Coturnix japonica: one gene and its partners. The protein of the gene in region 3 purifies or fractionates together with the protein of the main gene of each other region. This does not show direct contact. Links are inferred from orthologs where the notes say so. Each region holds a gene or a part of one and is shown on either strand. Other genes may lie near its edges. The genes, in order: LARP1, DDX6, PABPC4, MKRN1, PAIP1, G3BP1 and ATXN2.

Region 1 (4,191 bases), on a different chromosome or scaffold from region 3:
ACGTGTTCACCCTTCCCAGGTGACGTTCAGCTGCACAAGTCAAGGAGTTCAAAACAAGCAGAGGGGGATTTGCCAGGCTCTTCCACATCCGCAGACACAGATAGTGAAAACTCACAAACACCTTGAGCACGGTTCTGTTTTTCTCTGAGCTTGAGCTCAATTCCTTTCCTTTTGTAAGCACAGATCGTTAAAGAATGGGTGAACACCTTAAGGAGCATGTCTTGTCCATTAAATCTGCTCTTCAGGCCTATAATTAATACAATCATAATAAAAAATTAGGGCTTTGAAAGTCTGTAAAACAAGTCATAGAGGGATCCCCGTATCTTTAGAGAGCTGTTCTGTTGTCCAATGGCTCCTAGTCCTCCTTACTACCTCCTTTATAGCAGGATCAAGGCTGCAAGCATTCAGTATATCAGCACACAAATACCATGCATTGCCAACCACAGTTCCTATGCTAAAAACCTAAAAACATCCAGTAATGCCTTTCCAGAGTTTATGTGTGCTTAGTGTGTTTCACGCGTACAGAGAAACCACTTTTCTTTGATGAGCTCCTGGAGGTCACTGCAACACCACGGCTCATCTGCACCACAGCACAACTTTTACACATTCTCACACTTCAAATCTCTTTTCAGAAACATCTGCTGGAAGAAATCTTCCACCCAAAGCAGCAAAGATACGGCAGGAACCTGCCAAGCCCATGAGAAGGCACTCAGGCAAAGGGCCGCTATGCAAGGCCAGCCACCAGGCTGCCTCTCGTGGGAGTTTGCCAGCCGTGTTTGTTTTACACGTTTTCTCTTCTGCTAACGAACCAGGCAGCAAAAGAAACAATGCCCCAAGTGCAAGGGAGCCAAGTGGCAGCGTCTGTGGCACCGCAAAAATCAATTCCATTATTTCAACTCCTCCAGGAATACAGGGACAATTGGGCCAGGCCCAACACCACGCAGGACGTTGCATGCTTATTGCCCACTGTTACGCTGTACCCTCAAAAATCATATCAGACTTTGCAGAGCCCCCTCCTCCACCACACAGTGCCTATTCAAGCTCCTGCCCCCCCCACTTTAGCATGTACTGCAAGGCCTCCAACAGGAACACTGGGGGAACAACTCGTATTTTTGCACCTTTTGGTCAATTCCGAGGGAGCGCAGCCTAAGAAGGCAGCGTGACAGAGCCCAGCTCTCACACAAAGGAGCAGTGTGAGCAGCTGGATGTCACTCTGCATGTGAGAGGAAAACACAGACAGCAGCACAGTCCTGGATTTCGTTGTGCATTGCACACACAATGACAAACCACCAAACCATCTGGGCGCAGACTTTTACCTGGCACACTGACCTCCTCTATGCTACCATTAAAGACGACAGCTTTCCAGGTGGAAATCACAGAGGTGTCCATCTTTCACAGATCAATAGCACCTCTGGTGAATCATCCCACCGAGCCTGCAATGCTTCTTGCAAAACACAGAACAGTAACAAGGAACCTGATGTCATACCTGGCAGCGTGACTGCGGAGCTCACAGAGACAAGCCAAAAATATTAGGAATTAAAACTCCAGCCGAGCAGCAATCAGCTCCCAAACACAGGATCATTGAATTATTAGGGCTGGAAAAGGTCATCTAGTCCATGTATATGTACAGTTAGTATATATATACAGTTAGTATATACACCACCAATACTGCCCACTAAGCCACGTCTCTCAGCACCACATACACATGGCCGGGCACTCCACCACCCATTCCCGCACCCCACGGCTCTTCCTGAGAAGAAGTTTATCCTGATATCACCGTATCTCCTGCCAAATAAATAAACAAAACAAAAGAAAGAAGCCCCAAGAGGTGAATTAACGGCGCTCAGCCATTTCGGCTCAGCCTTACGACAGGCGCCTGGGCCTCCACGCAGAGCACACGCGGCCCCCGAGCCCCGCAGGGCCTCCATAGATCGCACGAGGCCTCCGCACGGTTCCCCAGGGCCTCCCGCCGCCCTCAGGCCGCATCGGGCCGAACTCGGAGCCGCGCACGTGGGCCCGAGGAGGAGGCCGAGCCGTGGGGGAAATCACATGCTGGGCCGGGGAAGGCACCACGTTGCCTGCTCGGCGGAATGCTGGGAAGGGGAGGCCTCCTCCTGCCCGCCCGGCCCCGGCCCAACGAGCTGGGCCCGCACCGCGCCCTCCGCCCGCTTCGGGCCTCCCCCGGCCGCATGGCCCCGGCCCGGCCGCTCCCCTCCCCCCGCCGCGCTCCATCAGGCCGCACGCCGTGCCGCATGGCGCTGCCGGACCGGGGCGCGGTCGTCGCCGGCCTCGACCGCACCCCCGTGTCCCTCCTCAGCCCCGTGTCCCTCCTCCGTCCCCCGCACCCACCTGGAGGTGACTGCCCGTTGACCGCCAGCGCAGCCGCGTTCTTGGTCCAGGGGTTCACCTTGGGCGGCGGAGCCTCGATGAACTCCCTTCTCCCCGCTCCGCCGCCCGCCTCACCGCCGTCCTCCGTGTCTCCTCCCGCCCTCAGCAGACTCTCCTTCTCCTGGTTGTTGCTCTCGTCTTTCTGTTGCTTGGCGCTGGGCTGCCGCTGAGCCGCGGTGCCGCCGTCGGGCCCCATGGGCGGTTCGCCCTTCTCCCGGCCGCCGTCCTGCGGCGGTTTCAGCACCAGGGCGCGCTCCTCGGCGGGCAGCAGCGGGGCGCCGGGCAGCAGCGCCTCCACCTGCGTCGCCATCTGCGCGCCCCCGCCCCGCAACGGGGGGAAGCGCCCCCTGAGCGCACACACTCACTCACTCACTCACACGCGGCGTTTCCCCCCCGCCCCCCCTATAGCGGCCGCAGCAGCAGCAGCAGCAATATGGAGACGCGCGGGGACCACGCGACTAGCCGCGGGGGCGCGCACCGCGCAGCGCCGCCCCGGCCGCGGGAGCGCGCACACCCGGCCTAAGGGGAGGGGAAGGGGGGAAAGGAGGGGCGGGGCGCGCTCCCGACAGGCCGGCAGGCGGCGGCGCGCACGTGCCTGATGCAACGCCCGGCTGAGCTTAAAGGGGCCGCGTGGAGATGGGGATGGCAAGAAGAGAGAGATGAGATCTACTCTGATCTGCTCCCATCCTCCTCGCAGCACCCGGCGGGGTGACTTGCCCTGGTGTGAGACCTCATCTGGAATATTGTGTCCAGTTCTGGGCTCCCCCAGTATAAAAAAGACAGGGATCTGTTTTGGAAAGAGTCCAGCGGAGGGTCACTAAGATGGTGAAGGGTCTGGAGCATCTCCACTATGAGGAGAGACTGAGGGAACTGGGTCTGTTTAGCCTTGAAAAAAGAAGGCTGAGAAGGGACTTGATCCAGGTTTATAAATACCTGAAGTGTGGGAGCCACTGGTCTCTTTTCAGTAGTGCGTGGGGACAGGACTAGGGGTAATGGGATGAAAGTACAGCATAGGAAGTTCCACACGAATGTGCGGAAGAACTGCTTTACAGTGAGGGTGACGGGGCACTGGAACAGGCTGCACAGGGAGGTGGTGGAGTCTCCTCTGGAGATATTTTAGACCCGCCTGGATGCCTACCTGTGTGACAAGGTGTAGGGAGCCTGGGAGGGGACTTCGACCGACCAGGGGGTGGTCGGGTGTTAGAATGGTGTCCCAAGGGCAGTGGCCATGGCACCGAGTTTGCCAGAGTTCAAGAAGCATCTGGACAATGCTCTCAGTCATACGGTCTGATTTTTGGGTGATTCTGTGCAGAGCCAGGAGTTGGACTCAGTGATCCTTACGAGTCCCCTTCCAGCTCAGGGTGTTCCATGATTCTAAATGAACAGAGAAAAGGACATGTGTGGTTCCACGACAGATTCTCTTCTCCATCTGGGGGATACAAAATCAGGTGTCCGATGAGCAGAGGTTGTGTCTGTGGCACAGCACAGAGCTACACTGGGGAGGGTTAGGTGGGGGTAAGGGAAAGGCTCTGCACCAGAGGGCTGTGGGCATGGAATGGGCTGCCCAGGGCAGCAGACACAGCTCCGAGCTGCCAGAGCTCAAGGAGTGTTGGCTCTCAGATGTAGGGATCTGATTTGGATGGTGTTGTGTGGAGCCCAGAGTGGGACTCGGTAATCCCTGTGGGTCCCTTCCAACTCAGGATGTTCAGTGCCTTTGGTGAAGGTTAAAAGCAGGAGGGTTGAGAGGATGGCTCACAGCCCAGGAGGGCAAATAAGGAGCCATCAGAAGGCTGATTGGTGACC
Region 2 (3,500 bases), on a different chromosome or scaffold from region 3:
TCATCAATTATACCTGGGCTAATGGCTACTCTACCACAACCTTCAGAAATGCATAGGGGCTCTTACCAGTGCAAACAAGATTGCGGCATAAGCCATTTCGGAAATCGTGGAACACGCGGTTGCGATGCTCCTGGAAACACATAAATAAACTAATTAAAGAACAGTTATGACTTTCAGTTGAGTGCTCAATTTACAACCACAAATCCCACGCTCGCCCCTTCATGAATATCAGCTGAGTCTAAACTCCTTGTTCTGCCTCTTAATACCAAAACTTCTTTTGTTCCCAAGGTCTATTTTCATTCCCAGTGTTTTGACTATCATCTCTCCTAGCTCCATGCCAAATGCTGTATATTAATACCTTACATCCTAAAAATATATTCATGAGCATTGACATAAAATCTGGAAACATCCTTCCTTTAAAACTCAAAGTAACTCCATTTTCCACTGCAGAGCATTTTCCACCACTGAATCAGTGATGGTATGAGCCAAGTGCCTGCGCAGACTATTCTCTCACTAACAAGCCACACTGGACTATGCAGATTAATAAGCAGTTTCATTTTCAGAGAGTGAAATGAACAAGTTGCAGTGTCCCACTCAAATAACGATGCCTCCATTTTTTTTTTGCCAGAAAGATAAAAATAAGAGAAATGAAAACCAGGTCTCAAGCAATCCATCTGCACAGCTGTGTTCTCAACACTGACATCAGCTCCTTTTCTGCTTAAATTACTGCTCCATATATAGCCCAGCAAAGGTTCGTATTGTCAGTCCAATGAACAGCCAGGTGTCCATTAAAGCTGTCGTTTTAATTTGTTCTAGTTTACATACAAAATGTAAGATATTTCAAAGTCCTACCACCTTCCACACATCACTTCAACCTCTTGTCAGTGTCTCCAAGTTCACTAGCTAACAAGGAAAGCTATAGTGTGAAGCTTGAGTACATGAGCTACTCTACAAGTAACATAAATCCCTGTGCACCAAAACCATGTTGCTATTTTTCATGTTTACAGCAAGGCCATGGGTGCAAAACTGCTATGCAGTAATAGTTGGTACTTTCACTGAGAGCTTTGATCAAAGCTGTCTCCCTGACTTCTCAGATTCCCCTACAGCCGTGGAGCAAGATGTGCTGCTTGCCAAGTCACGCTGTGAGCTCACACTGGCTGAGTACTGCTCTGTTTGTATTCCTAAATACCAACTGATCAGTTTGGAAAGAGCAGAAAAAAAGTCTGGACACAAAGTGGAACTAAAGCAAAATACATTTTTACAGCACACATAAATTTAAATAAACCTGAAGAACCCAGATAGCAACTGCTGTAACTTTGTACTTACCTGCCTCATTTTAGCATGGATATAGAAGCAGGAATAGCCCAGCTGGGAGATCTTTTTGGCTAGCAATTCAACCCGTTGAGAGGAGTTGCAGAAAATGATCGACTGGTTGATCTGGAGCTGGAAATATAATCAGAGTGTTCAGTAAACATGGAATTTTCACAGCAAATCTAAGGCATGCATCTAAATCCCTTTCGAAAAGAGAGAACAGGTGCTACAAACAATTCATAACATATATTTCTGAACAACAGGGGAAAAAAACTTCAAGGTTCTGTAGCACAAAAGTGCAGAATAAGAATTATTTTTAACTCTAGCTCACAGCATCATTAGTACATTTTGTCATGGAAAAACCTGTCATCCTAAATCTTACTATTTTATTTTGAAGTGAAAAACTGCTTTTGTAGGCTCTAAACCCTATTGCTTACCCTGGAAAACAGCGTATTGAGGCAGTGAACCTTCTGACGCTCAGTTACATAGGCATAGTACTGGGTAACTCCCTTCAAGGTCAGCTCCTCCATCAGATTAATCTCATAGGGTTTCTGCAAATGGGAATTCTGAAAGACAAAATAAAATAAAGCAGGCGTATCTACATGCAAAACAGCATAAAGACATCCTGTCCTCTGGCACACTTAAACTGCAAAGCACGAATGCACCACCCAGACACTCTGTATCTGTCATGAGAAAGGGCAGGTAAAATTTCAAGAAAGTTTATGAAAGATTGCTTATAAATCCAAGGCATCAGACCACACTAAAAGCAATTACCTTCTATCCCATATTTAGGCTGATATATTAAACCAAGAAAGCATGACTGTGTAAATAAAAGAACACCACTCACTCGTGTACCCTATGTACAGTGTCACAATCATATGTACAAGATTCCAACTGCACTCACCATGAACTTCTGTACACTCAGAGGGAAAGTGGCTGAGTAGAGCAAAATCTGTCTGTTTTTAGGTAGCGTGAGAATAATGTCTTCCATTATTTGAACAAAATCTTGAGACAGCAACTTATCTGCCTGTAACAACAAAAGTACAAAATACGACATTAAAGAGATGGGACAGGCTCCCAGTCCTCTGGTAGTGTAACACAGCAGAAAGAAAACACCACCAGGAATAGTCTCCTCCCCAGCTTCACTCCCTTTGGAACAATCACTACACTCTAAAAGATATTTGATTTAGCTGCTGGAACCAGGATTCACCACTTAAAGGAAGTTTACATTTCCTGGTTTTCAAAACTGTTTTCAAAACAGAATCAAATTAAAGAAAAATAAATAGACGCCAAGAGCTGTCATAGGATTATTTTCTCAACCTTCTCACTCAGAAGCCTGTAATCTCTCAGATGTTCATAAATCAGTTTATATGAACTTGTGGTAAGCACTACTCATTTGTTACAAACCGAAACTAAACAAAATGCATTCCCTCCATTCAGAAGTGACTGTTAATCCGTTCCACAGCAACAAAAAAGTAAACAGAAGTCAAAACCTTTTTAGGAAAGCAACCTAGGAAAATTCACACCCAGAAAACTTCTGCCAAAATACCTTCTCAAACCACCAAGAAATGATTTAGCTATAACCTTGATATCCTCAAGCAAAACTACTTGTTGATGTGCATAATGAGGTGGCTGGCTGAGACACATCACTGCTTTAACAAGTGAAAAATGTTTTAACATGAGCTACTTGCCTCATCCAATACTATCATCTGGACATGCTCAACTTTTGCTACTCCCTTCTTGATGAGATCGAGAATTCTTCCAGGGGTAGCTATCACCACATGCACTGTGGAGTGAGAAGAGCAAAAAAAGTTAAGGCAACTCAGGCAGTGTTTCCAGCATTCAGAGACATGTTTTATACCAAGCATTTGAGAGAATAACCACATACAGTGACAAGGACACACTACAAACTATTTTCTAACAAGCAAACAGTAGCACAGGCAAAAGAGAAAAGTACAAATTCTCCCACCCAGGATAAAAGCCCCAAATAAACAGTAACTGTAATGCAACAAAGTGCACCAACCTGTATCATCAAGCCTCATTATGTCATCTCGTAAATTGGTTCCTCCTGTTGTTGCCATCACTTTGGCACCTCCCATGTGTTTGCTGACTTGGATACAGATTTGACTGACCTGCAGGGCTAGTTCACGGGTGGGAACGATCACCATTGCTGAAAGTTAAAAGTATCA
Region 3 (4,137 bases):
AGCCCAGCCTCCCTCTGTTAGAGTCACAGCTGTGACATCCAGCAAAGGTGGTAAATAAAGTCTTTCCAGCCCCTGTTGGTGTGAGATGCAGTGTTGGTGTGCAGCTGTTCTGCCAGTCTGGATGCTGGGATGACTGCTGGCGTTGCAGCACATGAGCTTTGTTGAGGTGTAGTGTAAGGGAACATCCCCAGCAGGAACGCTGCTTGTGGTGGCTGCTCCCGTGACTTCTTACTTTGCAAACCACTGCATGAGCTGAGATCAGCAGGGATCTCATGGCTCTCACCCTGAGGTTGGCAATAATCCATGGCTTGAGCACAGCTCGTTTCATTTAGCTCCCAGCATCCACAGAAATGCCTTGGGACGCGCTGAGACCAGTCCAGCCAGACTGCGGGGCTGCCCTGTGTCTGCTGACCCTCTGTGAGCAGAACCAGAGTCACCTCTCGGCTCCGGGCTGTGGGAAGAGCTGAGAGCAGCCCCTGTTCAGCGGGGAGGATCCTCAGCGATCCCGGCCGTGAAAGAGGCTGCGAGAATTTCCCGGGGAACGGTGAAAATTCAACTTCCTTTCCCATAACTCGTTCTCGCTCCAAAACGCCTTTCCAAACCGCCCATAAATCCTCGCCTTAAGTGCCGTGTTGGGAATTGCTGGAAGGGAGCAACTGCAGCTGCGAGGAGGAAGGCAGCATCCGTCTGGAGTCAGAGGGAGCGATAATGGGGCCATTGAGCGCAGCCAGCCCCGGTGCCCGGCAGCCCAGACGCGGTGGGAGGTGGCGGGGGGGTCCAGCCCCGCATGGCTCGTTTTGGGGCGGCTGTTCACCCACAGCCCCGCGGGGGTAAAAGCAAAGCGGGGACTGCGGGAACCGCTTCCTGCGTGCCGGGATCAGGCGGTGGGAGGGCAGCGCTCCAGCCCCGCGGGGTTTTCCCCCCGCAGCAGCGTTTCGGTCGCAGTGGAGGGTGAGGGATGGAGCTTCTTTTCCCAGGGTTTTTCTAAGATCAAACATCTCCGGTAACACATCCCGGCAACGTTTGATCTGCCCTGTAGGGGAAATCCCCAAAGTCCCCCGAGCATCCTCGTTCTTCGGGCTACAAACACCATGAGCAGCCCGAGGGGACGCAGGGCTGTGCCTGCTGCGGTGCGGACGGGGCTGTGGGCGGCACTCAGCGATGCTCAGCCCCTCACGGTGCCGGTTTCCCGTCCGTTCCGTCCCGCCGTGTCTCGGTGCGGTTCCGCCGCCCTCTGCCGGTCCCTCCCGCAGCGGAGCAGCCCCGATCCGGACGCCCCGGTCTCGGTCCTCCCAGCCGCAGGGCGGCGCTGTAGCGGATGTGGCGCCGCAGGGGCCGCTCCCTCCGTCCCGCCGCACGCGGCCCCGCACGGACCGGGCCGGATATAAAGGGCAGCGCGGTGTGAGCCGCCCCTTCTGTGCCCGCCGGGCCGCAGCGCGTGAGTGGGGCCGGGCACCGGGACGGGGCGGGGAGCGGGGCACGGAGCGGGGCACGGAGCGGGGCACGGAGCGGGGCACGGAGCGGGGCAGGGCGGCTGCGGCACGGTCCGGTCCGATCCCGGCTGCCGCGTGGGGCTGCGGCCCGTCGGGGCCGGTTGTGGGGCTGAGCCTCGCGGGGACGGGGCGGTTTGAAGCTCCGGGTTGGGGCGGGTTGTGGGTGTCGGAGGCCGCGGGTTGTGGCTCTATGGCCAAACAGCCTGAAAACGGCCCGTGCGGGGCCCGGAGCTCCGCGCTGTGAGCCGGGCCGGGCTGTGAGCGGGGCTCGGTCCGCCCTGACGGAGGTTCTTCTCTCTCTCTCTCTCCCCGCAGACGCCCCATCCACGCCGAGCGGTCCGGGCATGAACGCGGCGGGCGGCAGTTACCCCATGGCCTCGCTGTACGTGGGCGACCTGCACCCCGACGTGACCGAGGCCATGCTGTACGAGAAGTTCAGCCCCGCCGGGCCCATCCTCTCCATCCGCGTGTGCCGCGATATGATCACACGCCGCTCCCTCGGATACGCCTACGTCAACTTCCAGCAGCCGGCGGACGGTACGTGGAGCAGCCGGGGGGCTCCGAGCCGTGTCCTCCCTTCTTGGCGTTCACCCGCTGTGTCTGTGCCTCTCAAACAGCCTCACGGCTCTCAGACATTCAAACACAGTTTATCAGGATCTCCACCTGCTCGGGGGTGCCCCCCCAAAGCACTGGAGGTGCCAGCTGTTCTGTGTACCTGGCACAGCTGGCTAATGAGCCCCAGTTGGCTGCTTTCTGCCCTCACCCTCTGGCTGCTCACCTGCTTCCCTTCACACCTGGGAGGGCTGATGGCTGCTGTATGACAATCTGCAGTGCTGTTCTTGAGCAGCTCATTGTGCAATGCACTGTGCTGCCTCCTGTGCAGGGTCCGTGCTGCTTTACTCTGGCCAGATTGTTTCTAGTAGTTCCATTTGGCACCTGATTCAGTAGATGCTCCAGTGCTAAAGCAGTTGGAAGCATGAAAGATGGGACAGAAAAGGTCTTTGTGAATGTGTTTTTTTTTTTTTTCTGGAAGAAAAGTAGGTCAGTATTTTCTGCCCTTGTTCTGAGAGCCTTTACTTGTTGCCTGGTGCACATTTACTGCTCTTTGCTGTGATTTAGCAGTCTCTATATATAGACATCTCCAGAACAGACAGGATTCAAAATCAGTTCATAACAGCCCAGACTTGACCAGCCAGTAACCTCTCCCGTAGCCTGTGATTGGCCATCCTGCCTTTGAGTTTTACAGAGAGCAGATAGCAGACTTCCACAGGGTAATAAATACTTTGCCTTCAGGTCACAGCCTTCACAGTGTGTAGAAATGTCATCACAGAGCTGTGCTCCTGCAAGCCAGCAGAGCCTCTGAGCTCTCAGCTGATTTGATGTGAGCTGATGGTGACTGTACCGTCCTGGTTGCTGTCCTCTTTCCCGGTTCAGAATGCCTTCTGTGTTCTTAGAGTAGAGAAGACCCCTATCATGTAGGTGTAGGTGTGATGTTAAAAGGGAAGAGTAGCTAGTTGTAAATGCTTATGGTATCAGGAAAAACTCCCAAACAAATAGGAAGACAGCTGGTCTCCCCATGTGTTTCAAGGTAAACTTTTATGGTAATAAATAGGCATGAGTTTAGAGGGATGTTGCATCATTCTGGGCTCTTGGAGAAGCAGCAGACATTTTAGGAAGCCCCAGCACATGAAGTGATACTTTGACAGAGTAACTGGTGTCCTGTTACCGGTAGGTCTTACAAGGTCAAGTGACTTAAACCTTATCTTTGAGTTACTATTGGGAGGGAGGGAGAAATCCGCAAACTCTTCTGCCTCCACAAAGAGATCTGGGTCAGAAAGGTCCTTCCTGATGTAGTGAACAGCAGCATGAAAAGGGATAGTTTGTATTTCCTGGATACCTTTAGTGGAAGTAGGAGCACTTTGTAAATCTGAAGAGTTGTCAGATCCTATTAACCTTTGGGTGGGAAATAGGATTCTCTCCTTACTGTCTAGAGGAGCTGAGCTGTTTACAAGTCAGGTAGCAGCCAGAACGTTGCTGTCCTTTAGGGCTACCAGGAGATCACTGTAATCGTATCCTGAATTTCTGTGTTTCCAGAACTCCTGCATCTAAACTGGTTCAGGGCTTGCATTTTTCTTGTTTTTTCACAGCTGATGGTGTGATGCTTTACCCTGAAGGGGTTATTTTTGGACATGCATTGCTTGATGGTCTGCAGGGAGGTTATTTTTAGTGAAAATGAGCTCTGCTGCCTTCAGTTGAGGTTTGGTGCATGGTGAGCAGTGAATGCTCAGTGCTGGGTCTGTCCTGTTCTGATGGGCAGGTTAAGGAAACGCTTTGAAGTTTTGGCTGGTTCAGACTTTGCCATGGTTGTTAATATTTATTCTTCTTAACTGTAAGTGGAAAGAAAACAAACACATTTCATTTGGGAGGGGGAAAAAAAAAGCTGTTTCCTTTTAAATGTGCTCCTCATGCAGTTCAGTTGTGTTCCCGGGTTTTATAACATTGACAGTTATGACAACTCAGATAATCATGGAGAGAAACTTCAATGTGGCCATAGAGATAAGCTGTTCTGGCAGTACAGAGAACAGTGCGTGTTTCCCAAGCCAAGAAGGAACCCGGGGCTGGGATTAGATAACTGTCTCTAAGC
Region 4 (3,500 bases), on a different chromosome or scaffold from region 3:
GATTCTGTGTATTGAATTCCCGCAGAATGAAGACATACTTGCTGTCTTTCACTGTAGAGAAACTTATGTTCCTTTTAAATGATGGACCTGCCAGCAGGAAGGAGTGTCGTGGTTTTATTGAAAATGTCTTCTAATAGGATATTCTAATCAAGTATATACCTGTCCTGCTACATAAATTGAAGACTGGAAAATTTTGTGTGGAAAATACTTCGTTAAACTATTTGGGTTGGATTTAAGTAGACCAGAGTGCTTTTGTTCTGTATGCCATATAAGGGGAAACAAAAGTAATTGGAATAATCCTACTAAGAGCTGAGCGTTTGAATGTGATGTAGACTGAAGCTGGAGAGTGCAAGCTCTTGAAAGCAAATGCTACTTACTTCATGGGCACAGCTTCATCTTGACAGAGTAGATAATATCTTAATGCCTTAATTGAGTTTTTCAGAACTTGAGAGATATTCCTCAGCTTAGAAATTCTGTTATCATCCACTTTAGTAGGAGCTAGTAGCCTCATTATTTTCCATATACATTTGGGCTCTAAAAATGCGGCATGATTAGAGAGTTCTAAAACTTAACAAGCTTGCAACCTCTATGTAGCTCTTCAATATAAACAGGTGGATTTGCTGAATGAATCTGCTGGCAGAGGTAGAGACATTGCGCTTCTCAGTGCAGCTGTTTCTTGGCTCGGTTTTCAGGTTGGCATAGCTACGGTCTGGGTCTGTGGGCTGAAGATCTCTTTGCAGCTCAAGCATCAGATGTGCTCTTAGCATTGTTCAGTTTGGTCCAAAACTTACCCGGTTCATATATTGAGATTGTTGCATGATGAGAGCCGAAGTGTCAAAAGCAGGAGTTGTTTGTAGTGAGGCTGTTTTCAAAAGTGCACTCTTTAGCACATGCTAAAGCACTGAAGTGAGACTTGCATGTAGTATTACTCTGAGTTTTGAAACTGGCTTGAGTGTTGAAAGTAGGTTGAGTGTAAGGCAATGGGATGCTATGTTACCTTTGTACCATAGTCATAACTTAATCCCCAGAATGATTTAGTCACCCATCTTGGCTGTGAAATGAAACTGGATTATATTGCAGGTCCTTTCCAAGTGAAATGGAGAATGGGAGGTCAGCTTTCTGGGATCTAACCTACTGAAGAGTAGTGGCTTTGAAAATAGCGGGCAGAATCATAGAAGATAAGTGAGGAGTGTTTGGATGTGGAACTGCTGAGACTGTGACTTCTAAGTTTCTCTAATTTGACTTTCAAAGATAGAGCAAAACAGTGCAGTAGGTTCAAGAGTTACACATGTAGGGTTTCAGATTGTGGAAAAGGTAAGACAAGAAGGAAAAAAACTGATTTCATTTTCATAGAAATACAGCTGTAGCTGAGATGAAGTGCTGGGAAAGCATGGAGGACTGGGACTGAAAAATGAGGTCACTTTCAGCATGTTTTCCCCCTCCTATAATGTCGTACTTTTAAAGTGCCTGAAGGCGTTATTAAAGATCGCCATTCACAGAGCTATATCTTAATGTCTTGACCTTTAGATGACAAGAACTGGTTGTGCTTTGGACACAAGGATGGTAGTAGCATGTACCTAGCTAGAATTTACTAGCTACACTCCATATTCTGCTTGTTGCTTTTAGTGGTGGTGTTGTGTTATTTGCTGTTGCTCCTTAAATAATTCAGTATATTCATTTTTGCCAAGGTTTGAAGCTCTGCTCTCTCTTTTTGTGGCCCAGCGTAGAAAATGAATGGGATTGTAAGTCAGTCTTTGGGGGATAAGACTTCAGAACCTTTCTTCTCAAAAGAACCTCAGCTAAGAAGCTCTTTGTCAAAACTTTATCAAGAAAGGTTTTATAAAGGATATCCTTCAGAGGAGCACAGGTGACTCTGGAAACTTTCTCCATTAAGAAAAGCTTCAAGTGTACCTCTGCTTCAAAGTATACGTTTTCCAGGGATATAGGATTGCCTTGAGCAAAAGATTATCTTGCCAGCCCCATTTCAAAGAGGTGCTGTAGCAGTAGGATCCTTTGAAACTCAACTGTATTTCTCTGGTTAGTAGCCTTCTGTCTGTGAATCCTGTGATCTACTAAACTCTCCCTCCTCAGAAAGTTAAAAACGATAATAAAAAAATCTTAACGGCATGAAGAAAAAGCACTGGCAAAAATGACAACCAAGGGAATGGAAACAGAGCGGTACTGGTGATTTTCTTTGTTGTTGTTACTGCTGCTTGAGCAAACAAGGGCAGATTGGATATCTGTTTCGGATGGGTTTTATTTACTTTATTTGCAAATATCTAGAGTAGACACAGAGCCACATGGAGCTGTGGTCAACATCATGCTGATTAACCTGCCTTTGAGAAACTGGTGATGTAGTGTTTCTGTACTGGCATTTCTTTATGCTGGATACACCGCTATTGCTTCAGTGATGTAATTGCAGTAGGGATAATTGAGAATCAATTCCAGCTGGACAAGAACTGATTCTCAAAGCAGTGAGTGATTTTTAACCTTACTTAATTGTTGCTGAACCATAGTTAGCATAAAAATGTAGTTAGTGAGACTTTCTAGCAAAGGCTGAGCCTGTAAATAGATTTTGCTCTGACCACCGAAGCCTTTATAGCTTTAGTCTTGTCTGAATTGAAAGATGAACAAATTACATTAGAAATCGGTATTGCTTTCTTGAGTCAGAAAATAACTTAGTTCAGATTGAAGGTATGTGGAACTTGGACTGAAGCGAGCCTTGCTTTTCTTCTAATCCATTTGGATAGCTTGAGCAGGGTCACCCAAAGAGTTTTTGTTTTTTTAACTTCTTTCGTTAAATCTATCTTCTTGCTCTAAATGTGAATGTTTTGCTTCCCATCCTTAATTCTGTACCCAGCTGCTCCTTCCTGCACTGAAGTACCCTTGGAAGAAATGGTGATTGAGGAAGAATATGAAAAGCAGGAAGCAGATGTGGAGATGAAGAAGCAGCTGTGCCCCTATGCTGCGGTGGGAGAATGTCGTTATGGAGAAAACTGCGTGTATATCCATGGGGACGTCTGTGATATGTGTGGACTGCAGGTCTTGCATCCAATTGATGCTGCACAGAGATCCCAGCACATCAAGGTAAGCAGACAGCTGTCTGGTGTTAAATAGCTCCAAGTTATTGCTTCCTAGCTCCCTGCAGTCACTTGTCATTTATTCCCTTTTATTTGAAGGTGCATGCGAGTTGGGCAGTGAATGAAATTCCTGTTGTAAACCAGACTGTTTCCTGTCAGTGCCGTATTCAAAAGCAGCTGGGCTTCCTTATCTGTGCTGGGAGAGCAGTCTGCGTGAAGATACTAAATCTTTGTTCTTAGCCTAGTAAAACTGGATGGTCTTCCAGATTGCCTTTCTGATGTTTAAAGCAATGTCTAAAGAAAGGAATTTGAACTGTGAATTGATTGTTTCCCACTGTCTAAGCAGCACTTTTTAGGGATAAAGACTGCAGCTTTATCATTTTCCATTCCTTATGTAAAACAGTGAAGTGATACTCAGTG
Region 5 (3,500 bases), on a different chromosome or scaffold from region 3:
TCTGAAAGTTTTTTTTTTTTTTTTTAAATCATTATAGAAAACTGTTTAAAAATAAGAGGGGTAACTCCATAAAACTGGACAGCTCTCTCTCCCCCCAAACTTCCTGGAAAGCTTCCTTTTTACTTCCAGAAAGACAAAAGTACATTTCAAAGCCCGTTTATGTACAAAAATGGAAGAGCTGGAGAATCGCTTTCTTTCCCCATGATACAAGAACATTTTTACAGCATCTCACTAGATCATACCTTTGAAATACTTCAGTAAAAAATTGTCAAGCTTATTACAGAAGTTGGTGACTTTGCTGAACTCACAGGTGTAAGAGTCAAGTAAGGTTTTTGTGTACAAAAAAAAAATGTATGTAAGCACTACAGATATAAAAAAACTGATCTAAAGAAAGTATTAGGTGCTTCAAGCATAAGCCAAGGATTCAAACCTTGAAAAGAAATCCCATTGAAGGTCTCCACTTCCGATTGCTCATTTTGAAATCTCTCACCCTTCTTCAAACATTTAATAGCTCCAGCTAGTGGCTAAATTTGCTTTTGATAGGTTTTAACATATGACGGAATAAATAAATAAATAAAATCAGAGAACTTCATTCCAAATTTTCCAACAGTGAAGTAGGTATGACCAGGCAAGTTTTAGGAAAGGTACTTTGTGCTAGGTTCTTTTAACTCTTACACTTTTTCTAAAAAGTATCTTCAAACACTTTTTTTCCTTTAATTATCCTGTCCATTTTTGCTTGTTCCTTTGATATGCAGTTAAAATGTTCTGAAGTTTTTTACTTATTCCCTTCTACATAAAAAAGCAACAAAAACCAACACAAACAATACCTTAAATGATACCTCTTGTTTCAGTATTTGCTTAAATGCAACAAAAATGGGTGAAAAACCACATGAAAAATGACTTTTTTCCTACCTCTAGGTTAAGATAAAGTTCACCTAGGAACAGTACAAAGGCATGGAATTGTTTTCGAGTAACCTCATCTCCTTTTGCAGCTTCATCTCTGTTTTCGAACTCTGCTTGACACCTGAAAACATTAAACAAAATTATATCATTATTGTGCTTAAAAGCATCCCAACACATACAATATGCTACTGATTTAGTACATTGCTAAGAACTTATGAACTGTGTTAAAACTGTTCCATGTTGAATCTTGGTAAGCATGATTTGTAAAGGAAATGAGAGGACTACACAAATGCAAAGTGTTTTATTGTCCTCAGTAAATAAATATGATGACATGATTGTGGTTTCAAGCACTGAGATACTGAAGACAAAAATACACCTAATACGGTATGAATGCAAGTTTAACAGAGGCATCTAAATGTTAACAGAAATACAGGAGGTACTGTAACGCTTCTCCCCATTTTAAGGCAGTGCTCACATTGCCAGGTATGCCTATACACTTACTCGATAAATTCTTTATGCCACAATTTTAAGTGACAGCTATGCATAATTTAGTTATAATTGGCGGTGGAAACTGAATACATTTAAAAGCATTTATAACTTAAGGAAATACAGCAGTGACACAATATTTTAGTCTTCAACAAGTGTGTCAAAGATAGTGCTAGTTTACATGGCAGTTCAGATTAAAAGGAAAACAAGACAACCTCCAATATATTCTCATTACCTACATGCTGAGATTAAGAAATTGACTGGGAAATGTTTGAGAAAACTCAACAGTTTAAGGAGGAGAGATGTCACATTTTAGATAGAAATTTGGGCTGAGAAAGAGAATATGTATTCATTTAGTTAGCTTTTTTTATCCTCACCCCATCCCAAATTAATCCATAGTAGATGCAAAACCATAAGCAACCTCAAATTTACATTTTTAGGGTGCTAATTTTATCACTGGGCTGGTTTTAAAACCAAGAATCACCATTAGCAAGGATTTCCTTCATTATACCATTCACTTAACAAATGTAATTAAGAAAACAAGATAAAAATGATGATTTGTAGTGTCACTAGGAAGGAGAAAAGGTTATATCCTTTGTAACAAGGACATGTAACAAAGTATTTTTGCTTTTCCAAAAGGTACTGCTCCCAATTTCCAGAAATTCATTTTGATGATCTTTTAAGCTTACCATGCTTTTGCTTGTAAATTTCCATGCACTAAGCAAAACTTTTAAATTAAGCCTGATGCTTAGAAAGCCAAAAGTCCTTAAAGAGAAAAGGATTATTTTTAAACACTCCTGAAGTAAAATATATTAATCCTTCAAATGTCACACGCTAGGATTTTAAAGGAGACACATTCATTTAAAAAATGTTGCACCATGTAATCCATGAAGTCACAGCAAGTCCAGCCAGTTAAGCAATTCAAGAAAAAAAGAGTCCCAGTAAGAGTCAAAGGACAAGGACAGGACAAAGGAAGTCTTACTTATGTAAATTTTTAGGATACTTTTGAAGTATATACGACTAGCTTTCAAATTTACTCTATAATTTGGTACTGAGTTCAGAAGAGACTACAGAATCTGAACTGAGTCCAGTTTTTACATAAAAGAAAATAACGTATGTACATACTCAATATCCAGTATGTACCTCTGCCTTAATAGCTCTCAATTTAAAATCCTTCTATTTTAAATTCATACTTCTTTGGATGCTTATTTAAGAGTTACACACAAAAGAAGAAGATACATAACCCAGCCACAGGAAGTAATAGGCTTAAGAGGACACACTGATACTTACCTTTTAAGTAACAACTGTCGGAAGTTCCCACTTTGTGGACTAATGGTTAGATGGTGAGATAAATAGTTACACAACCTTGCTCCCATGTAGGAAAAGTTTGGGACTGATGTGGCCTTTCAAAGTAAAAGTGGATAAATAAATTAACTGTACAGGTAATGATTAGGTTATGAGCAAGTACCTTTAACTTTAGAAAAAGCTATTTAACAACAGTTGATTTGATAACTGAAAAGTAGAAGATTAATTATTATTATTTGGCACATAAGTTTTCAACGCTTCGCTATGCACATTTCAGAACAGAAACACTCACTATACGTGATTCTGTGGCTTTTTACCATGAGCATTCAACTCCTCCATTATAACCTACACCAAAGAGTGTCTAAAACATACGTAGAAACTGTAAAAAAAATAAATAAATAAAAATAAATTTTAAAAAAATCTATAGAGGGCATTAAGACTTCTTCAGGGATATACACTTTCTTAAAGAGCAATGAATGTTTAAACAAACAAACAAAAAAATTGATAAAATTTCAGAGCTATCTGTTCTAGAATCTATATTCAGCAGTAGAGTATGCCTAGGAAGAGTAAATCACGACAAGAAATGGTACATATGTAAATGTATTAGAAAGAATAGAGAAAAGCAGATGATTAATCTTTATAGATTGACTGAGACACCTGACCTTCAAAAGAAGGGAGAACTGCGCAGGATTTGTTTCTTTTTTTCCCCCTTCATTTTAGCCTTTTTGTTGCACAGAACTATCTACAAATCTTCTCAACTGGATTTAATTAGTATCACTGAAGCAGATACTTAAAAACTCATTTTG
Region 6 (3,500 bases), on a different chromosome or scaffold from region 3:
CTCCCAATCTAAGCCATTCTATGATAAGCTACCTTTCAATTTAAGGCCAGAAATAGAGGGGACAATACAGTATTAAAGAAAGGATGCCACTACCTGCTGAAAAACCATGCTGCAAGGGAGCACATGGCACAGTTTAGATGCATCCAGATTCACTGCCTACCACCATGCCATACACACTCAAGGGAGGCACATCTTCCATGAACAATCACTGCTGATAAACTATGCAGGTACTTTTCCTTTGTTACAAGGAACTCTTTTCAACCTGTACATTAGTATAGTTTCTCCCTCTCAACCCCTTCTGTCAACAACTGAATAAGTAAAGATATTACTTGTGCACAGGACCAGACTGTACCTTTTTGTGTTGGAAGCACCTTGAAAAACACTGCATGTTATTAACAGAGCAACAAGCCTGACTGAAAGTTTATTTACCCTGTTGCTAAGGATCTTCTGAACTGGCTCAGGATCATCAAACACCACAAATCCAAAATTGGGGAGCTTCCCACCACTGTTGATGCGCAGTTCAACCACATTGCCATAGCCTGCAAGAGAAGAGCCAAGTTCTTGGGTCATACATTAGAATGTCCTGTTGATCACACCAATGGCTGCAACCACAAATTTTAAGGAGTAGAACTACCAACTTACTTTGGAAAAAGTCTTTTAGTTCACTTTTATCCACATCATGGGGAAGGTTCCCAACAAAGAGCTGGTGACTGTCCGGGTACCTCACAATCCGTCTTGTTTCCACATCACCTTGTTCACCCTCACGAACTTGAACATAAGAGTAAAGTTTAAGGAAAGACAGTTCCCAAAAGAAAGAACAGCATCACAGAATTACCAACTGTCTACCCACTTATATATAGGAAGGTAAGCACCCTACACCAGGAATTCTCTGACTGCATGCTATCTATCATCTGTCTGAAAGCAAATACTAAATAAAAAAACAGGATACTTCAGAGAACATAACAAAAGCTCCAGAGCTTGACTGACATTCAGGCCAGAACTATTCAGTATCCAGGTAAGCAGAAAAACCTCACTGTTAACAAGACTCAACTCAAATGAAACTCTTGTCTTACTGATTCCCCAAAACAAACCACCAAATCAAAGATCCAAAAACTTTTACATTCTGTAGCTTTTCTTACTTGGCCTAGGACCCCTCTGTGGTGGGATGCTTGTTCGCTGCTCCCTCACTCTCTGATCCCTCTGAGGTCTCTGTGGTGGGGTCTGAGATTCAGGCTTTGCCTCAGGACGGGGCTGTATAAATTCAAAAGAGAATTATCATGCAAGAATAAAATGAAACAGTCACACATTTAAGAGCTTGCTATCAAGTAATTTATCAGTTCTCTTGAAAATTGAGTCAAAAGCCTGAATACTATTCTTTTCATCCGTGACTAAACACGTTACGCTGTGGCTCTCAACATCAAGCTAAAATTACCAGGTCATTCCATACACAACTGCATAAGAAGTGACCACCTGAAGTATGGCTATACTACTTTAACCACTACTCCCCCATCTCAGCTTCCTGCCAGCCAGTTTAGCAGTGAAACAGCTTTAGATGCTGAATTTCTACCTGTGAGACTGGTACTTTCACAACATGAGGTGGAATCCCCGATACTGGAACAGCTCCACTGGGAGGGAGGTTCTTACTGGTTACTGACGCCCAAGAAAATGTCTAAAGAAAAGAAGATTAAATTCAGCTCTATATTCCTGATGTTACCATGTCTGTATCAAAGGTTTAAGTAATCCATGATATTATGGATTCAACCATTAGAAGTTTCCCCACAACCCCCTTCGAATCATTCCAAGTCAGAAGACATGCATTACAATAACAGAACACCACTTCTAACCTACATCTGACTTCCAAGTAGAATTGAAATATGAGACAGCAACAGCCTAGCACCAAGTACCACAACAAAGTTAATTAAAACATTGTTTTATGGAATACTCATTTGTCAACTTTTAATTCCTTTGACACTACAGACTAACAAAAAAAATAAATAAATCACCATCTAGGTCACATCTCAACCATTTTCCTGATTCTGCATCTTGGCTATTGGCTACAGTCTATAAAGAACATCAGAAGCTCTGCTTATAAACTAAGAAACTGAGCCTCTCACAATTACCATAGTTCCAACATCCCCATAGTTTACAAAGCTTTCCTTTAGATCACGGTAATTTAGTTGAATTTCTAGGTAGTAACTACTTGTCTATCTACTGTTGTAGAAAAGTCAATGAGAAAAAAGCAACTGGTAAGGAAAAGAACGATCTGGACTCAAGAAAGAGCTTCAGAGCATTTAAACACTTATATCTAATTCCAGATACTTCCCTCACTGGAGGACAGAATGAAACAAAGCAGAGTGTCAAACTTCCTGATTAAACAACAAAAAGTCACACATGGTTATTACCCTGGAGTCCTCTTGCACTGCAGGAGCTGGATCAGCAGGAGCTGGAGAAGGACTCTTCTCTACAGTCTCTTCTGGAGCCGATTCCTCCAATACTGGCTCAGATTTTTCTTCCTGTGCCTCTGGCTCAGGTTCCTGTTCAGGTTCTGGCTCTGGCTCAGGCTCTGCCTCTGCAGTTGTCTCTTCCAGGTGTTCTTCAATGTCATTGCTATTAGCACCACAAGAAAAGCAAGCAAGGGTGGTATTTACTGCATCTGATTAGATATAAGGAATGCTACTTGTGGTTTGTTTCTGTGTTGAACATTTCATTACAGAGGAAGAACAAAGGTAATCTAAATAAAACTACATTGTACAAGCTTGCAAGTTTCACATTAATACACTACAGACCAAAGCATTACATGTACTGATAATCTGGAGTCTCTGCAATAAGCATAACAGCATTAAAGTTTCAGTTGTCTTTCAACTGTCAAAAGGGTAAAATCATGTATAGCAGCAAGTTCCTACAGGTTGTTCTGTAAGTAGTCAATATTACCATCTAACAAAGGTATTACCTGACAGTCTGCTCATAATAAGCACCAGTATCATCAGGAACAGCCTCAGGTGTCTGTTGTCTTTCCTCAGGTTCTTCCCCTTCTTCCTCTGATTCTAAAAGAAGTTAGAAACACCACACACAGCTTTACTACTCGACTCCAACTCACCTCCCACCAACACACATTTGAAGTCTCTGCTGAGGAGCACAAGGAAGCACAACCAAAACATGGCACTAAACAGACATTTCCTTACAGTTATGCTTCCACTTGAGTTACTTGCTTTTTCTGACATTAAATAACATTTTCTAAATACTTCAGAATACAATCATTGCCTACAAATTTGATAAAAAAAGATCTCACAGCTTGCTCAATAGAAAAAGATTATATCAAAAATAACTACAGATAATATAGTGATAAAAGGACAAAACTACAGGCAAGAAAAGACTCGGAACACCAAAAAGATGAATGCTGTAAAAAGAGACCTCCTGTAGTCTGGAAACAAAACATGAAACAGACCCAGGAACAAACACCAAAGGAAATACATGGAGTCTGCTGGTGCTCACCTTCAGGA
Region 7 (3,500 bases), on a different chromosome or scaffold from region 3:
TTAAGGAAGACTTTGAGGAGGCTATCTGTCTTGGATGTTATGTAGAGAAAATGAGGTCATGCAGTTCTAAAGTGACAGAGACCTACAGTTTTAAGTGTTGTTCTTCACTCATTTAATCTACTCGCAGTATAGAGATATTCATGTGGATGGTGTGGTTTTTGTTTTGTTTTTTTTTTTTCCTTTTTTCTTCCTTTCTCCTGGCCTGGATAGGGTTCTTAGAGCTGTGCACACAATACTTGTGGTCGTTGTGATCCACACCATTTTTTATAACCACGCTTCTTCCTATTAAGCCTTAATGTCGCCTTTTTCTCTGCAGCATTGCTTGTTATTGCATTTCTCATAAAAATCTTTTTACATTGTGGAACTTAATCAGCATTTCAGCTTTAACTGATACTTTTGAAATGTTGGCATGTTATGCTTTGAGGGTTTTATTGCACACTTCTTTGTGTTTGGCTGGGTTCTGCAGTCCTTATACCTCAGGGCTTCTGTCTTAGTGTGTGATGTATTAGAACTATAGATGTGTCACTTACATAATGCCGTGCTTTTACAGACTATTTCTGTGTCCTCATACATACAGTTCATGGGATGATACCAAATTGCAGATGAAGTGATGTAGTTGTATTTAATTTGTAGATATGCAAGCATTATCTTTTTGCAAATTTAGAAACATGGGGGTTATAGATGAAAACCTGAATTAGAGATGCTTGGACAATTCTGGTCTTGTGTTTGGCAGGTGTATCTCCAATTGTTTCAGAACATAGAAAACAGATTGATGATTTAAAGAAATTTAAGAATGACTTTAGGGTAAGTGTCTCTGTGTGCTTACTTAATGGTATCGTAGTTCTCATGTGTCCTGATTACTTTAATGAACTGAATACATTGCATATGTTAATGGGGAAACATTTCCTTGAAGCTTGTGCTCAGTGTGTGAAAATGTCCTTAAGAGCTCACAGTGAATGTTATGAAATTCATTGCTAAGTCTGCTTGTCTTATTGCCTAGTGAACAAGTGTGCATATCAGCTTAAATACTGTTCACTGAAAATGCTGCTCAAAACATGTGCGATAATTAGGTACAAAGAATCAACACATTTATGCCGTCTATGGAAAAGCTGCTTCAAAGTTCATTGTAAGGTTTTGCTGAGGAAAATTGGAACCAAATATCTGCTGTCCCACTTGGTGTTTCCTGGTTGTAATGATTTACTAGATCAGGTCAGCTTTTTAAGAGTTACTGTTAAACGGCATGGAGGGGGCTGAGTCAAAGGCGTGGTCTTAAGTTTTCCTGCCACTTCCTAATTGACATGTAGGTCAGACAAGCCTCTGAATAGCTTCCTGCAGAATGTAGTCTTAAAACGTTGTCAGTGTTCTTTTTTAATTATTTCTACCAGAAACATATGTTTGAAAAGGTTACTTCCAAACGACTGAGGTTTATGGGACTGTATTGTACTCTGTGATGGTGTTAGGTTGATGTTCCTAGTTTTGTGTATTAATTTAATGGACATATACCTTGGGTTTTTTTTCCAGTTACAGTCAAGTTCCTCTTCAGATGCAGTGGATCAGCTGCTAAACAAAACCCGAGAAGGTGAAAAATCAAGAGATGTAGTTAAAGAAAAGACAGAACCAACCCCTAAAGAACCTATCATAGAAACTGGCAGTAATACTAACTCTAACAGTGGCAGTAGCAAACCCAATAGTCCAAGTATTTCTCCATCAATAAGTAATAGTTCTGAGCAAAAGCGAGGGCCTGAGGTAACTTCACAAGGTGTACAGACATCTGGGCCTGGAAGCAAACAAGATAAAGAAGATAAAGAGGAGAAGAAGGATACTTCTGAGTGAGTAACTATGTCTTTTAGGATAAGCAAATCTGTTATTAGCATTTAATTGTCAGTACAAAAGCTATTATGAACATGCAATATCCTAATGTTTATATGGCTGTTGTAATTTGTCTCTTAATTGAGCAAAGGAAACAGCAGATGAGATGCTTGTACTGAATGAAAACCATCTTGTGAGTCAGTGGTAGAGCTGCGAGTATAGCTCTAGTCCTCTTGATGTCTGTTCTATGTCTAAATGATGATTTAAGTGTTTTTCTGCCTCATGTGAACTCAAGTATCAACAGCAGGAAAACTCCTCTGTAGAGAAGTGCAGTAAGAGTGTCAGTGAGAGTGGCTTCTTGTGTGCTGTGTTGTTTGAGTTCTCAGAAGTCTGACTCACGGATGGAAATATTTAATCTCTGTAGCTTTTTAATTGTTAGGGAGTTCTGCATATGTGCTGTAGTGGAGTAATGCTCAATGTTATTTTTTGCTGTTCTTTATGTTTAGGCAAGTTAGAAAATCTACACTTAATCCTAATGCAAAAGAATTCAACCCTCGATCTTTTGCTCAGGTAGGTTATTTGATACTGTTTAACATTTGCTCAGAGGCAAAGCTTTTACTTGGAGTACGGTCAAGCTAATCTTACATATGTGCTGCTGAACTCTGTTTGTAGCCGAAGCCTTCTACTACACCAACTTCCCCTCGCCCGCAAGCTCAACCAAGCCCTTCCATGGTGGGCCATCAGCAGCCAACTCCAGTGTACACTCAACCTGTTTGTTTTGCACCAAATATGATGTACCCGGTTCCAGTGAGTCCAGGCGTGCAGGTAAAGCACAGCATGTGATGTAAATTTGTTTACACTTTTCAGATTGGGAGACTTAGGACATCTAAGTTAAGAGAGTCTAATAGTACACTTTGTATTACTCCCGTAAATATGGGAACAATTAAACTGTTGTTCAGTTTTAGCTATGTAAATACTAACTTTCCCCCAGTGGCCTTTCAACCTGAGAGCTTTAATAGTCTCAAACACTTGTAAATTCCAACAGCTGTTACTTGCATTTATTGTTAATCTGTGCAGACCTCCTTTCCCTTGCTCCCAGCACAGTACTGCTAACTTAAGTTTTAAGCAACTGTTCTAGTTTTTTTCCTCAGCTTCCAGCTGTGTCCCACTCATTTCTGATTGTTATAGAGATCACCAGGCTTTCAGACTTAGCTGCTGTAAAGTTGTCTGATTTGATACATTGCTTGCAGCAGCAATACTAGCATTACTTGGCTGGTTATTGCAAACCATATGGTCTTGGTTGTATGTGCAGACTTAGTCACGGTGGTGAAAGAAAACATAGGTTAGGCAGAGTTTACTAAACTGTATTTGAAATCTGGAATTTTTTTCCCCTTCTCCTCCTTTTGTTCAGAATGGTTGCTGGTTATTGGAAAAAAAATGTGGCTAACAGTCCTAACTTTGTGGTTAAAGGTTTTGGTAGCGGAGGAAGCGATGGATCTTGTGCTAACTTTTCTCTGGTAATGTGTTAACAAAACACTCAGTATGCTCAGAATGTGTTAATGAGTAATTTAGCTGTCAGCTTCAACAAGGTCACAAGAGCTCTTCTTGTTTGGAATAAAGGAGTTTCTTGCAAACTTCTATGAGGCTTCAGTCTTATGTTTGACTTAAGGTATTACATTTGTGTAAATAGT

Evidence for each region.
Region 1: the proteins of PABPC4 (region 3) and LARP1 purify together in Homo sapiens (affinity purification with mass spectrometry; 3 studies listed by BioGRID and IntAct, with this or other methods). This does not show direct contact. The link is inferred for Coturnix japonica from reciprocal best matches to the Homo sapiens genes PABPC4 and LARP1.
Region 2: the proteins of PABPC4 (region 3) and DDX6 purify together in Homo sapiens (affinity purification with mass spectrometry; 3 studies listed by BioGRID and IntAct, with this or other methods). This does not show direct contact. The link is inferred for Coturnix japonica from reciprocal best matches to the Homo sapiens genes PABPC4 and DDX6.
Region 4: the proteins of PABPC4 (region 3) and MKRN1 purify together in Homo sapiens (affinity purification with mass spectrometry; 3 studies listed by BioGRID and IntAct, with this or other methods). This does not show direct contact. The link is inferred for Coturnix japonica from reciprocal best matches to the Homo sapiens genes PABPC4 and MKRN1.
Region 5: the proteins of PABPC4 (region 3) and PAIP1 purify together in Homo sapiens (co-immunoprecipitation; 3 studies listed by BioGRID and IntAct, with this or other methods). This does not show direct contact. The link is inferred for Coturnix japonica from reciprocal best matches to the Homo sapiens genes PABPC4 and PAIP1.
Region 6: the proteins of PABPC4 (region 3) and G3BP1 purify together in Homo sapiens (affinity purification with mass spectrometry; 4 studies listed by BioGRID and IntAct, with this or other methods). This does not show direct contact. The link is inferred for Coturnix japonica from reciprocal best matches to the Homo sapiens genes PABPC4 and G3BP1.
Region 7: the proteins of PABPC4 (region 3) and ATXN2 purify together in Homo sapiens (affinity purification with mass spectrometry; 4 studies listed by BioGRID and IntAct, with this or other methods). This does not show direct contact. The link is inferred for Coturnix japonica from reciprocal best matches to the Homo sapiens genes PABPC4 and ATXN2.

The regions. Positions count from the first base shown.
Region 1 is NC_029528.1:5,943,588-5,947,778, reverse strand, and holds the start of LARP1 (la-related protein 1), read right to left. Parts: upstream 2,801-4,191; 5' UTR 2,699-2,800; coding exon 2,350-2,698; intron 1-2,349. UniProt on the Homo sapiens protein: RNA-binding protein that regulates the translation of specific target mRNA species downstream of the mTORC1 complex, in function of growth signals and nutrient availability.
Region 2 is NC_029539.1:4,832,964-4,836,463, forward strand, and holds part of DDX6 (probable ATP-dependent RNA helicase DDX6), read right to left. Parts: intron 3,482-3,500; coding exon 3,335-3,481; intron 3,098-3,334; coding exon 3,003-3,097; intron 2,339-3,002; coding exon 2,216-2,338; intron 1,878-2,215; coding exon 1,749-1,877; intron 1,444-1,748; coding exon 1,327-1,443; intron 131-1,326; coding exon 67-130; intron 1-66.
Region 3 is NC_029538.1:4,814,725-4,818,861, reverse strand, and holds the start of PABPC4 (polyadenylate-binding protein 4), read left to right. Parts: upstream 1-1,337; 5' UTR 1,338-1,438; intron 1,439-1,808; 5' UTR 1,809-1,837; coding exon 1,838-2,030; intron 2,031-4,137.
Region 4 is NC_029516.1:55,541,463-55,544,962, forward strand, and holds part of MKRN1 (E3 ubiquitin-protein ligase makorin-1), read left to right. Parts: intron 1-2,860; coding exon 2,861-3,087; intron 3,088-3,500. UniProt on the Homo sapiens protein: E3 ubiquitin ligase catalyzing the covalent attachment of ubiquitin moieties onto substrate proteins. These substrates include FILIP1, p53/TP53, CDKN1A and TERT.
Region 5 is NC_029547.1:15,439,769-15,443,268, forward strand, and holds part of PAIP1 (polyadenylate-binding protein-interacting protein 1), read right to left. Parts: intron 2,793-3,500; coding exon 2,680-2,792; intron 1,025-2,679; coding exon 913-1,024; intron 1-912. UniProt on the Homo sapiens protein: Acts as a coactivator in the regulation of translation initiation of poly(A)-containing mRNAs. Its stimulatory activity on translation is mediated via its action on PABPC1. Competes with PAIP2 for binding to PABPC1.
Region 6 is NC_029528.1:5,176,353-5,179,852, reverse strand, and holds part of G3BP1 (ras GTPase-activating protein-binding protein 1), read right to left. Parts: coding exon 3,493-3,500; intron 3,045-3,492; coding exon 2,951-3,044; intron 2,608-2,950; coding exon 2,403-2,607; intron 1,670-2,402; coding exon 1,568-1,669; intron 1,252-1,567; coding exon 1,140-1,251; intron 769-1,139; coding exon 643-768; intron 561-642; coding exon 430-560; intron 1-429. UniProt on the Homo sapiens protein: Protein involved in various processes, such as stress granule formation and innate immunity. Plays an essential role in stress granule formation.
Region 7 is NC_029530.1:5,315,403-5,318,902, reverse strand, and holds part of ATXN2 (ataxin-2), read left to right. Parts: intron 1-733; coding exon 734-804; intron 805-1,521; coding exon 1,522-1,829; intron 1,830-2,315; coding exon 2,316-2,379; intron 2,380-2,481; coding exon 2,482-2,634; intron 2,635-3,500. UniProt on the Homo sapiens protein: Involved in EGFR trafficking, acting as negative regulator of endocytic EGFR internalization at the plasma membrane.